Linked DNA regions of Rattus norvegicus. The protein of the gene in region 3 interacts with the protein of the main gene of each other region in a pairwise test. Links are inferred from orthologs where the notes say so. Each region holds a gene or a part of one and is shown on either strand. Other genes may lie near its edges.

What was found.
Region 1: the proteins of Bnip3 (region 3) and Bcl2 interact in a two-hybrid assay, tested with the Homo sapiens proteins (2 studies listed by BioGRID and IntAct). The link is inferred for Rattus norvegicus from reciprocal best matches to the Homo sapiens genes BNIP3 and BCL2.
Region 2: the proteins of Bnip3 (region 3) and Clec7a interact in binary tests that used the Homo sapiens proteins (3 or more experiments, as listed by UniProt). The two-hybrid records come from large-scale screens. The link is inferred for Rattus norvegicus from reciprocal best matches to the Homo sapiens genes BNIP3 and CLEC7A.

The regions. Positions count from the first base shown.
Region 1 is NC_086031.1:23,364,080-23,368,331, forward strand, and holds the start of Bcl2 (apoptosis regulator Bcl-2), read right to left. Parts: upstream 2,822-4,252; 5' UTR 2,586-2,821; coding exon 2,010-2,585; intron 1-2,009. UniProt on the Homo sapiens protein: Suppresses apoptosis in a variety of cell systems including factor-dependent lymphohematopoietic and neural cells. Regulates cell death by controlling the mitochondrial membrane permeability. Appears to function in a feedback loop system with caspases.
Region 2 is NC_086022.1:164,596,974-164,601,263, forward strand, and holds the start of Clec7a (C-type lectin domain family 7 member A), read right to left. Parts: upstream 2,855-4,290; 5' UTR 2,787-2,854; coding exon 2,711-2,786; intron 864-2,710; coding exon 765-863; intron 1-764.
Region 3 is NC_086019.1:203,137,940-203,141,587, forward strand, and holds part of Bnip3 (BCL2/adenovirus E1B 19 kDa protein-interacting protein 3), read right to left. Parts: intron 3,291-3,648; coding exon 3,184-3,290; intron 3,030-3,183; coding exon 2,880-3,029; intron 818-2,879; coding exon 772-817; 3' UTR 1-771. UniProt on the Homo sapiens protein: Apoptosis-inducing protein that can overcome BCL2 suppression. May play a role in repartitioning calcium between the two major intracellular calcium stores in association with BCL2.

The DNA.
Region 1 (4,252 bases), on a different chromosome or scaffold from region 3:
ACTTACGTTTACTATTAAGAGGCTTTGTCAAAAAAAAAAAAAACTTTTTTAGCATCTCTTCCAATATGCCATTGTGGTTTGGCTTCATAACATGAAGCCTATGCATTTATCAACTTCAGATACCTGTTGACCACAAAGATATGCCCTACGACCAAAACTTGATGATGAACACGGAAAAATGGGACGCTTCATTTAAAGAGAAAGCTCAGCTGTCTGGCACGTTAACTCACTGCACGTCGACACCAAGGGTCAGGTTGTATCTGAATTTCTATCAGAAACATACAATCCTGTTTCCCTCCTTTTTATTAACTTGATATCAACACCACACATTCACTGCTTTGGATTTCTTTCAAATAGAAAGAAACATTTATTTTTTAATAGAAATATGAAATAATAATCCTAGATCAATTTTACTTTGATTTTAAAATGATTCTGAAGTTCCCACCTCTTTGAATAGAGTGGCAAAAAAAAAAAAAAAAACCTACTTAACTCAACATCTAACAAATTAGTTTCTGTCCTTCAGCCAAGTCTTCCAGCGCCACTAACAATCTGATCCTGTGGGATGTCAACAAACATGCAATTCACAAACAGCATGTGAATTTCAGGCACTTTAAACTCTGATATTTGAGTTAATTTTACTTTTAAACATTGAACAGTGCCACCAATATTTTGTCAACATTGGTCAAATAAGATCAGATGTTCATATCAATCATCTATTTTTCCTGGCTTTTTCCTTTTCGGGACCTATGAATATTAGCACATCTTGCAAACTGTAGTAAAAACATAATGTGCTTCTAGATATTTGGTTCACATTCAGCCAGTTATAGGCTTTTTGTCCCTGTAAGGTTCTAATTTTTTTTTTTTTTTTACTTCTTCTCTTGATACTACCAAGGCAGGACTAAAATGAAAACCCTTTTCATTAATGCAAGTTCTTTTTTAAAAAGTCAGACAACAATTACTGCTTTCTCATAACTCAATTGTTTTAGGTCTAACAAGCCTTGAGTCTGCTCTCTGCCGGCGAAGAACCAGGAAAAAGCTTAAATCCTATGGTAAAATATGGAAGCTTGACCTCCCAAGATACCAGAAAACAATCACTCCACAGATGCTCATCAAAGTTACGGATACAAATCATTTTTTTTTTTTTTGGTTCTTTTTTTCGGAGCTGGGGACCGAACCCAGGGCCTTGCGCTTCCTAGGTAAGCGCTCGATACAAATCATTTTAACTTGTCAGGGCTGGAGACCCCCCAGCTAAGTGGACTCCACCACTCCTTTCAGAGGCACCCTAGATATAAGTCCACTCAGTGGAGATCGCACAACTATGTAGACTATAGGTAGAGGTAAGTAAGAGACATTGAAGCAGATGCAAACTTCTAAATCCCTGCAGATTCACCGATGGACAAAGCACCCACGACCGTGCCCACTGGGGCTATGGCACAGACTGACTGGATTCCGCAAACATCCACGGATACTTAAGCTTACCTTTTTACAAGCTTAGCTATGATTTCCAGGAAAAGCAGCTGTATTGTTTTTCTTCGGGAAAATGTTCCCAAGTGAGTTAGAAAAGGTTTGCCTGCGTCCTCTGGTGGAGCCTGTTTGTCTAGTTGGACCTTTTTAAGTTTGTTAGTCCGCCAGAGGAACTAAAGGTGCACTGGTCAAGAGGGAGCACTGGAGGTCTGGTTCCTACACAGGACCCAAAACATCTGCAGCAAGCTACTTGGACTAAGTAACTCTGAGTCACTGGAGGGATACTACTTATCTCCCAATCCTACTGGATCAAAAATGCTGAACCTTTGCTCTCTCACAGCCAGTGGGCAGGAGTTAACACATGGTTGGCAAGGCGTGATCTACCCAGAGGAAGGGGGTGAGGGGTCAGGGGAGCAAAGCCACAAACTCGATTTTATTTCATCGGCTCGACGGCCCATTTTGACCCAGAATCCACTCACACCCCAACCTGAGCATCCCCGCCTTGAGATCAAAGCCCAGACTCATTCAACCAGACATGCACCTACCCAGCCTCCGTTATCCTGGATCCAGGTGTGCAGATGCCGGTTCAGGTACTCAGTCATCCACAGAGCGATGTTGTCCACCAGGGGTGACATCTCCCTGTTGACGCTCTCCACACACATGACCCCACCGAACTCAAAGAAGGCCACAATCCTCCCCCAGTTCACCCCATCCCTGAAGAGTTCCTCCACCACCGTGGCAAAGCGTCCCCTCGCGGTGAAGGGCGTCAGGTGCAGCTGACTGGACATCTCTGCAAAGTCGCGACGGTAGCGACGAGAGAAGTCATCCCCAGCCCGGCGGAGGGTCAGGTGGACCACAGGTGGCACAGGGCTGAGCGCAGGCCCAGCGGTGGCGACAAGGGGCCGTAGAGGCGACGTCCTGGCAGCCGTGTCTCGGTGCACAGCGGGCGTCCGGTTGCTCTCAGGCTGGAAGGAGAAGATGCCAGGGGTGGGGGCAGCCCTCAGGGGCGCGGAGTCTTCATCTCCAGTATCCCACTCGTAGCCCCTCTGTGACAGCTTATAATGGATGTACTTCATCACGATCTCCCGGTTATCATACCCTGTTCTCCCGGCTTGCGCCATCCTTCCGGGGAAAGAAGCTGCAGGTACCAATAGCACTTCGCGTCCCGGCTCCCGCCCCACGGCCCGAAAGAGAGAAAAAAGAAGTTATAATCCAGCGCTTTTATTGGATGTGCTTTGCATTCTTGGATGAAGGGGTGTCTTTAGTTATGACGAACACTTGATTCTGGTGTTTCCCCCTTGGCATGAGATGCAGAAAATTTTTATTCAAATTCCTTTCAGCTTTTTATTTCATGAGGCACATTATTTATTAAGCTTGGTTAATATCAATCTACTTCCTCCGCAATGCTGAAAGGTGAGGAGGCAGGACGATGTAAGCAGTTAAAATCAGGTGTGTTTTCCTTTATATATTTATTGTAAGAAAGGTATATCCGCTACAAGTTACACGTTAAAGAAAATGCATTAAATTGTCTGGGAATTAAATCTGCTCGAATGCACTTTAAGTAAAAAATATTTCAAACGCGTCCATTGAAAGTTACATCAAACCAAATTCCTGTGCAAAGAACTTACTGCATTTTCTAAGGACCGCATGATCTTCTGTCAAGTTTCCCCCCTTTTTTTGGTAAAACCCAAACAAATACAAATACACCATCGATCTTCAGAAGTCTCCTTGTATAAGCTTCTTTGAAACTTGCAATGAATCAGGAGTTGGGGTCTGGAGGATAGGTGAAGAAAAAAATCAGAATTGTGTCCTCACACTCCGGTTTCACTGAGAATGTCAATCCGTAGGAATCCCAACCAGAGATCTCAAGAGCACCGCAGCGGGGCAAAAAGGCAGCGGCGGCGGCGGCGGCGGCGGCAGCAGATGAATTACAATGTTCAGTATTTGCAGTATTTGCAGAAGTCCTGTGATTCTCCCCTCTTCTCGCCAATTTACACTCGCGCACACACACGCTGGAGCGCAGGCATGGATCGGTATCCACCAGACCGCTTCAGACCTCCAGGGGAGAGACACGCCAGGGGGACGATGGAGGAGCGGTGGCCGGGGAACGGGGACCAGAATCCTCTTCTGATTAAACTCCGAAGGGCCAATGCGTTTTCCGAAAGGGGAAAAAAAGCAGCTTGCTAAATGCAGGCAAGGACGCGCTGGGGCCGCCGGTGCCCAAGGAGCAGCCCGCGCACTGTGTGTGGTGCGCTGCGGGAGAAGGAGGTGGTGGGGGAGGGTTTGCCCCCCCTCTTTTTCCTAAAAAGGATGACTGCTACGAAGTTCCCCCCCCCGGCCCCCTCTTCCGCTGCACCCCACCGGCGCACCCCGCCTCCGGGCTGCGCACCCTTTCTCCTCCTCTGCTGCGGGCGGCGCTGGCGGCCGCCTCCTCGTGCTCGCGCCGCGCAGCCCGTTCCGTGGTGACGGCTGCGGCTGGGGAGGGCCCGGGCACCTCGGTGTTGGCGGCGGCGGCTCGGCGGGGACCTGGACGCGGGGCGGGAGGACGGGCCGGGGAGGAAGGGGGCGGGCGCGGGGCGGGGGGCCCGGCCTCTTACTTCATTCTCCGTCGGAGCGCCTGGTTTCCTGTACGTACGTCACCGTTCATTCAAAAAAAGAAGAAAGAACCCTCCTCTGAGCGCCCGCCCGCCGCCTCCGCCCGCCGCCCGCCTGCCGCCCGGGTTAAAGGAGCCGCGGCCGCCCCGGGGAGCGCGCGCCGGACCACCGCCGCTGGCCTGGGTGGCGGCCA
Region 2 (4,290 bases), on a different chromosome or scaffold from region 3:
GTGAATTGTAAACAATTTTAAATAATAATTTAACAAAGTAATACCTTTTGCTTTCTTCAATTACTTCAAAATGCTAGCTAGCAATCTGAGAGTTACCAAACATGGAATACATAGAATGTCTCTGTTCTCAGCAAGCATTTGACTAATAAGTGACGAAGGTTCTTTGAAGGTATCATATAACTTTATCGGCATAGGATTCACGAAATATAGAAACCTAAAGAGATCTATTAAGTCTTCACAAAGCATCTGCTTAGTAATTTTTCAGTGCCTCAGGCAATACTTGGTAAAGTTAAGATATTCTTTATTAAAGATCATGTGTAAGATAATTCCCATGTATCATGAGGCTTTCAAAAAAATTACACACAACTCATTTTAACTTAATATAGCTGTCTTCTAAGGAAGATTGTGTTTCTTTTGGCTCTGCAAGTTTCCCTCCACTAACTTATACTTTAAATTCCACTTTAAAAAAAGTCACCTATCTATGTAGAACAGTAGAGCAATATACTGAAAAGTATGTGTTTTATGAAGCAGATTTTCTACATTTCTTATAATTCCACCACTGACTAGCTTATAACTATGGAAGAGTTAATCTTCCAATTTCTAAATTCTCCTATAACTGAGACAAATTAATAGCACAAACCCAATGGGGTTAATGTAAGGATTAAATGAAGTTATACACGCCAACCCCTTGAGAGAGTGCCTGGCATAAATTAATTTCATAATCACTGTCCGTGCCTTTATCAACCTCCCTCACCCATACTCACCTAGGGCACCCAGCACTGCTGCGACCACTACTGTGAGCAAGCACAGGATTCCTAAAGCTACCGCAATGGACCGCCAACGAGAAGATGGAGCTGGGCTTCCTGGAAAGTCAATGAGATGAGAAAGAAAATGAGGGAAGACTGTGGAACTCTTCAACAGCTCAGCTCACTGAAATGGGGATGGTTCTAAAAGGATCAGCAGCCACTAGGCTCTACCAACTTGAGACTCTAGAATTGCAGTGTGAGTCTCCATTGTCCTCCAGATTCAGGTTGCTTCTTCCTCTCTTCCTTCTGCTATGGTATCATGGTCATAGTAGGCTCACAGGCTATTCTATAGGCCTGGGCATTATTCATTCCCTGAAGTCCTACTTGGTTATAAATCAAACAGCTTTCTGTAGAAGAAGCAGCACCAACTGCTAAGGACAGCTTTTTCTTCTCATTTATATGATGCATGATTTAAGCAACTTATTTTCTCTATGTCCTTTTTAAATTTTTGTTTTTATCTTCCAGGTTTGAAATTGGATCAATAGCACCTTCGAATACCGTTGTTGATAGTGAGCACTTTAATTTTCACAGCATAAGCATATAAGCCTTGCCCCTTCCGTCAATTAACTTCTGTACTATTTTCCAAGCAAATTTCACAAGAAAGGAATTGTGTATGTGGTTATAAGAGGAAAATAATTGCATAATGTGAACACCAAAAAGCAGAAGAAAGCCAACTGATGTTAGAACCTGTGAGTCAACTCTTCCTTTAACAGTGAACTGACTTTGTTTTTATTTTTTATTTCTTATTGGATAGTTCATATATTTACATTCCAGATGTTATTCCCCTCTTCCACCCCTCCTCCCCCTGCTTCTATGAGGATGCTCCCCCTCCCTCCCACCCACTCCCACCCCAACACCCTGGCATTCCCCTGCACCAGAGAAAAGAGTCTTCACAGGACCAAGGGCTTCTCTTCCTATTGATGGCAGACAATGCCATTCTCTGCCATATCTGTAACTGGATCTAAAGGTTCCCCCATGTGTACTCTTTGGTTGGTGGCTTAGTCCTTGGGAGCTCTAGCTGACTTTGTTTTACGCTTATGACACCACCAGCAGGAAACCAAGTCATAGAGCTGCCCAAGAGGTGACCCGGAAAGAGACTAAAACACTCACTTTATGAGGAGATGCTTTAATATCCTCTATTCTTGTCTTGTTTCTGTTTTAATATATATCTCCTGATAATGAGACATTTTGATGTAGCATGTCTTTTTCATTACTGACTAACTTCCCATTTTATAAAATCCAAATTAATCTCTTAACAAAAAAGTATATTATATTCGGGATTTAAAATCCTTTGACTCCTAGCTTCTCTTGAATGCATTCATTTTTATTTGCCACATATTCCTCCATGGTTTTATCCCCTACCACTTTAGCATCGAATGTTGTACGATTGTACAGTTTGTTTGTTTATCTGTTTCCTGGCCCCCTCACGAGTTACTAAAAGGCAAACAAAAAGCAACTCTATTAAAATTCTTTCATTTTTCTCCTTTACTCATGTTACAAGTGTCACTTCCCACCGAAGAAGTAACTATGACCGCAGAGTGGACTAGTCCTGTTTTCTGCCACAAACTAAAAGCAGTTTGTGGAAGTCACTGCACTATATGCAAATCTATCTATCTATCTATCTATCTATCTATCTATCTATCTATCTATCTATCTATCTATCTCTTGATATCCCAAATATATATCAAATATATACTATATATCAAATATATATCAAATAAATACTATACATATACCAAATATATACCATATATATACCATATATGATATATATACATATATATATATATATGAAAATATATTTTTGTAGGAAGTCCTACAAATCAAGAGTCTCTCCAGGTCTCTACTTCTGTTATTTCACTAAATAAGAATGAAGGTACTATTAGCAGAAAGAAAGTGGATACCTTTCTCTGATTTTACAGGTCTTTTGTGGATGTTTCGAGTGCCGAAGTCTAATTGAGTATATCCATCTTCGTCCATGTTCTCTATTTGAGAATGATATTCCACTGCTTCACAGGACTCTACGTAGGCAGAGCACTTGAATGTTCTTTCCCAGCAAAATAACTACCAGGATGAGGATCTCTAAACCAAACCCTGAAAGAGCCCCTTCCCTGAGGTTCATGGAGCTCAGCCTACGTAGTCTAGCCAGTGCCCAAAGCAGGAAATGAAAAGCACGTTGGAGTAATTTCCCCTTTTGCCTCTAGATCCTGTTTCTGGGGCTGGCATTTCTCAAGAAAACTGAAATGTGTGGTATTTTGTGATCACCTCCATGCCTGTATGTAGATTATAATCTTAAAAGACCTCTGTTACACTCCCCATTGAAACTGACACGGTCAATTGGTATGGCCATAGGTAAACTGTTAAGCAGTTTGGGTATCTTGAATTCAACATTGGTTTGTTAGAACTCTGCTGGCATGCACACATCCTTTCATGTGCCCATACCTTACATATGTATGTATTAAATACTCGATAATGGCCAGGAGTTGGCAACATTTGCAAGAAGGTTATCTACAAAGAAGTTTCTTACCTCAGGGAGGAAACCATGGATGAGTACCTAAGGTACATTACTCTGGCAACATAAAGCGAATGATTCTCTTTGAGGCTTAAGAAAGGAGTAAACATTTATTGGTAGTGACTCTGTCTTCTGTACAACAGAGCACAATGCTTTCTCATTCTGTCTCCCCCTCAAGACTTGTACTTCAGTACATATTAGCCCTACTATTTTCAAATAAGGAGAAAAAACATGGATTCTCAGAAGACAGGAATTTCAAAATAGAACAAGGGACTAGAACGAAGTCTCCTAAGATTTTAAGACTTGGAATTGTTTACCGTTGCACTGGCTTCATTTTTCTGGACTTTTTATGATGCATATAATTGACTGAAACATAAGGCTAAATTCTCCATCTCTCTCTCTCTCTCTCTCTCTCTCTCTCTCTCTCTCTCTCTCTCTCTCTCTCTCTCTCTCCTCTCTTGCAGTTCACACATTAATAAAATGTGATCAAATCAGTCAAGTTGGGAAACAACTATCATTTGATTACTGCTATAGGTCAACAAGGAGGATATCAAAGAAATGAGGACAGACTTAGTTTAAGGATACCGTTGCATTGAAGAAGAAAGTTCGAGCTGAAGTCAGAGTCCACAAAACAAAATTTGGAGACTTTTTCAAGGCCGGAGTGTGCTAATGAAAAGAAGCTGTGGTGGTAAAGGGACATCCAGAGTGAGGCTTCACCAGGACTTGTCAATTGGCACTTGCTAAACTAAGAAACTCCTCCTCATCTTTAGGACTTGAGTCAGTGGTACACCTTGGAGCAATGTACTCACCTCCAACTCCCAGACACTGGGATGACGAGCAAGGATGACCACCCTCAAAAGTTTGCCCTTGAGAAGACTGTTCAGGGTAGTGGACTTCCCATGCCAAGGACAGAGGAAATATACTACATTGCAAATCCCAAACATATCTGCTGTAAGTGTGGATTAACCTACC
Region 3 (3,648 bases):
TACTGATTAATTCATATGCAAATCCAGTATTCTCCAAAGAATTTGGCAAAGATTTTTTTCATTTCCAGTCTTTTAAAGTAGACAGATTTGCTTACAATACAGCTGATTTTAAAAGCACACAAAATTTAAGTACAAACCGTAGAACTTCACTCAGCAGAGAGATAAAGGCGTAACACAACTGCCCACCCAAGGTAATGGTGGACAGCAAGGCTGGAATCCTCATCCTGCAAGCAAGAAGAGGGGGACTGCAAAGTGGAGTTTGTGGGTAACCTTAGTCTCTCCTTGCTACTGAATTCATAAAGTAAGAGGCCTTTACAAATAACCCACACCCTTTAATTTTCTACTACATAATAGGATTATAAGGCCACAGAATTCCTTTGGGGAAAACCCTTTAATGATTTTAATATCACTTAAGTCATTCTTTTGAAGTGTAAGGTGTCTTAACTGGATTACAATTACAGATCATTTTTAAATACACTATTGCTACTATATTAAAATTATTTATACTATTTATATCTAATATATTCAAAGAAATTTACTAATAAATGCTACAATAGGCATCAGTCTGACATGCTTATTAATTGATCCCATAGGTATAATTATAGGTCGTGGTAAGAGTCTATTCTGTCTCACTAAATCAGGAACACCGCATTTACAAAACAAATAAACACACATAGTGCAGACACCCAAGGATCATGCTAGCTCTTCAATTAGCTGTCACAGCTCAGCGTGAATCCTCACTGTGTGAGCAGAAGGCAGATCCAAGTCTCATCAAAAGGTACTAGTGGAAGTTGTCAGACGCCTTCCAATGTAGATCCTAGAGAGGAAAGGGATGGCAATCAGTCAGGTCTCACAATTCTCAGGTGACTTCACATGGCCCAAACAGGCCATGGCCACAGCTTTTAGAGGGGACCTAGCTAGCTACCTTACCCTTGATAAAGTATGACTGTAATCTTTTCTCCTGTTTATGATTTTATTATTTTTATGAGCATTGGTGTTTTGCCTACATATATCTCTGTGTGAGGGTGTCAGATCCTTGGAACTAGAGCTGCCATGTAGGTGCTGGGACTTAAACCCAAGTTCTCCAGATAAACAAGCAGTGCTCTTAACCACTGAGCCATTCTCCAGCCCTACTGTCTGCAACCTTTATCAAGTGTTTTTAGTCATCTAATATGTATTTCATATTGGTCTAATTTTTCTTACTTAAAATTTAATTTCAATTGTTTCAATTATTCTAGTGGTGCAAGAGATTGAATGTACAAAAAAAAAAATACTATTAACAATAGGAGTTGAAATTCAATTTCGGAGTGTCTGTCTACCATGTACCAGGTCCCAGGTTCAAATCTAAGTACAAACCAATTCCACATTCTATCAGTATTATATACAGCTTCGCATTCCCTTCTGTATACCAAACGAGCCACACTGCTGAAGGGCAAGGGCAGGCTGGCTTCATATCCAGTTCATTACCACTAACCTCAAAGCCTAACCAAGGAATAAGTAATGAAGCCTCCCTTCTCTGCAATCAGGAAGGCAAATGACTGGAAAGAATTCCACCTGGCCAGGTCTGTGCAGACTGGGAAGAAATAAGACTGGGCAGTGAACTATCTGAACTAAAGAGGGCAGTGTTCATGAAAGACTGGAAATTGCCAAGAGATCTTGGGTAGAGATGACATCAAGTTCTGAGACTGGGAAGTATGAAGGACAGAGACAGTAGATCCAGAAATGATTCTGTGAAGAGAAAACTCAGCTTGGAGACTGAACACACAAATTCCTAGGCCCTGTCCACAAGTTTTTTCCCCTTGCTGGTCCTGTTCTATTTTGTGTTTTGAGACCAGATCTCAATAAGTAACTCTGGCCTATAATTCAGGGATTCCCCTGCCTGTGCTTCCCAATTGCCACTGAACCCTACTGCTTGCCCCAGGTGATGGGGATGAACCTGTCGTCCGTGAGACCAAGCACCAGGAGAGAACTACACATGGAGAGTGGTAAAGGCAGGTAAGACTCCAGCCCTGCAAGCTAGGAGGAGCCTCTGGCACCCAGGCAGCCATTTCATCTCATTTCTATAGGCAGCTCTATAGGTAGGTATGCTGAGGGTCTGCAGTGCAGAAAGATAAGGGCAGGGAGGACTGGGATCGCATGTACCTATGAGACCCACAAAATCCCAAGAGATCAAACTGAGTGTCAGCCACAAGGACAGCTTTTGGGGAAAAGAATAAGCAGACTACAGAGCCTTCTGTCCCAAACATATCCCCAACTAACATGGGCCAGATGCCCACAGTGGCATCCCAGCCATTCTCCATATACAGGGTGAGTTCACCCTGACATGGACAGAGGGTATAGATAGGCCTAAGGAAGAGTAAGGCCTGGGGATGTAGCTCAGCTGGTAGAGTGCTTAGCCATAATATTATATAGCGCTGGGTACGCAGACATCTGTAATCTCGGCACTCAGGAGGTAGACACAGGAAGATCTGAAACCCAATCTCATCCCTGTGCGGCCAGCCCAGAATACATAGTGTCCCTTTGGTGACCCATTCTTTAGCATTGGTCCCATCTAGAGAAGCCACAGCTGTATTCCCTGGTCTGTTTTAGTCTAAACTAGATACAAAAGCAGAAACCTGAAGGCCTTAATTAATTATTCCTGCCAAAAGACAGGATCATCCACCCACTGTAGAGGTGGCACAAGAAAGAGACCCAGCATGAGAACCCCTGTGAAAGACAAGGGCCTTCCATAGCTCAGGATTTTTACCTGACCTAACAGTGACTTGGAAGTATCATCTCTCTCCATAAACAATGCAGAAATAAATTGCTGGGGGCTAGAATCACCAAGATCCATCCACCCTGTCATAGGGTATCCATACTCTCATAGAAACATCACTTACCCCAATCCAATGGCTAACAGATGAGACAGTAACAGAGATGGAAGGAAAACCTTCAGAAAGTCTGCTGAGAAAATACCCCCTTTCTTCATAACGCTTGTGTTTCTCATGCTGAGAGTAGCTGTGCGCTTCGGGTGTTTAAAAAGGAACTCCCTAGGGTATAAAGAAAGTACCAATCAGTGTCCCCTTGTCAAAGGAAAAACCTTGACCAAGAATGTTGAAAACATTACCTAGGAAGCGCAAGGCCCTGGGTTCGGTCCCCAGCTCCGAAAAAAAAAAAAAAAAAGAATGTTGAAAACAGACTTACTTGGGGGGAACATTTTCTGGCCGACTTGACCAATCCCATATCCAATCTGAGTTTTTCTTCAGGATACTTTCAACTTCTCTTCTTCTCTCAATATAATCTTCCTCAGACTAAGGAAAAGTAAGTATTAAATAAAGCAGATGAGTTTTTCACATTCACACTAGAGTTAAGGTCAGTAAGCTCAACAGAACCCCACCTGACATGGTATTAACTATCCCCACAACTGTAAATGCATTACAAACTCAGGCATTTGGGTGGTAATGTCCCTTCAGGGAAATTCTTTTAATATCTAAAACTAAACTATGATAACCATTGATATTCTCTTAACTGATACTACATGATAAATTGGGTAAAGGAAACACAAATCTGTATAAACACATTTTTAACAAAATGCAACAGAAACACTCCATAATTATAATCTTCATTTGTACAACTGGTCACATGACCCTAGTAGCTGATATTTATAAC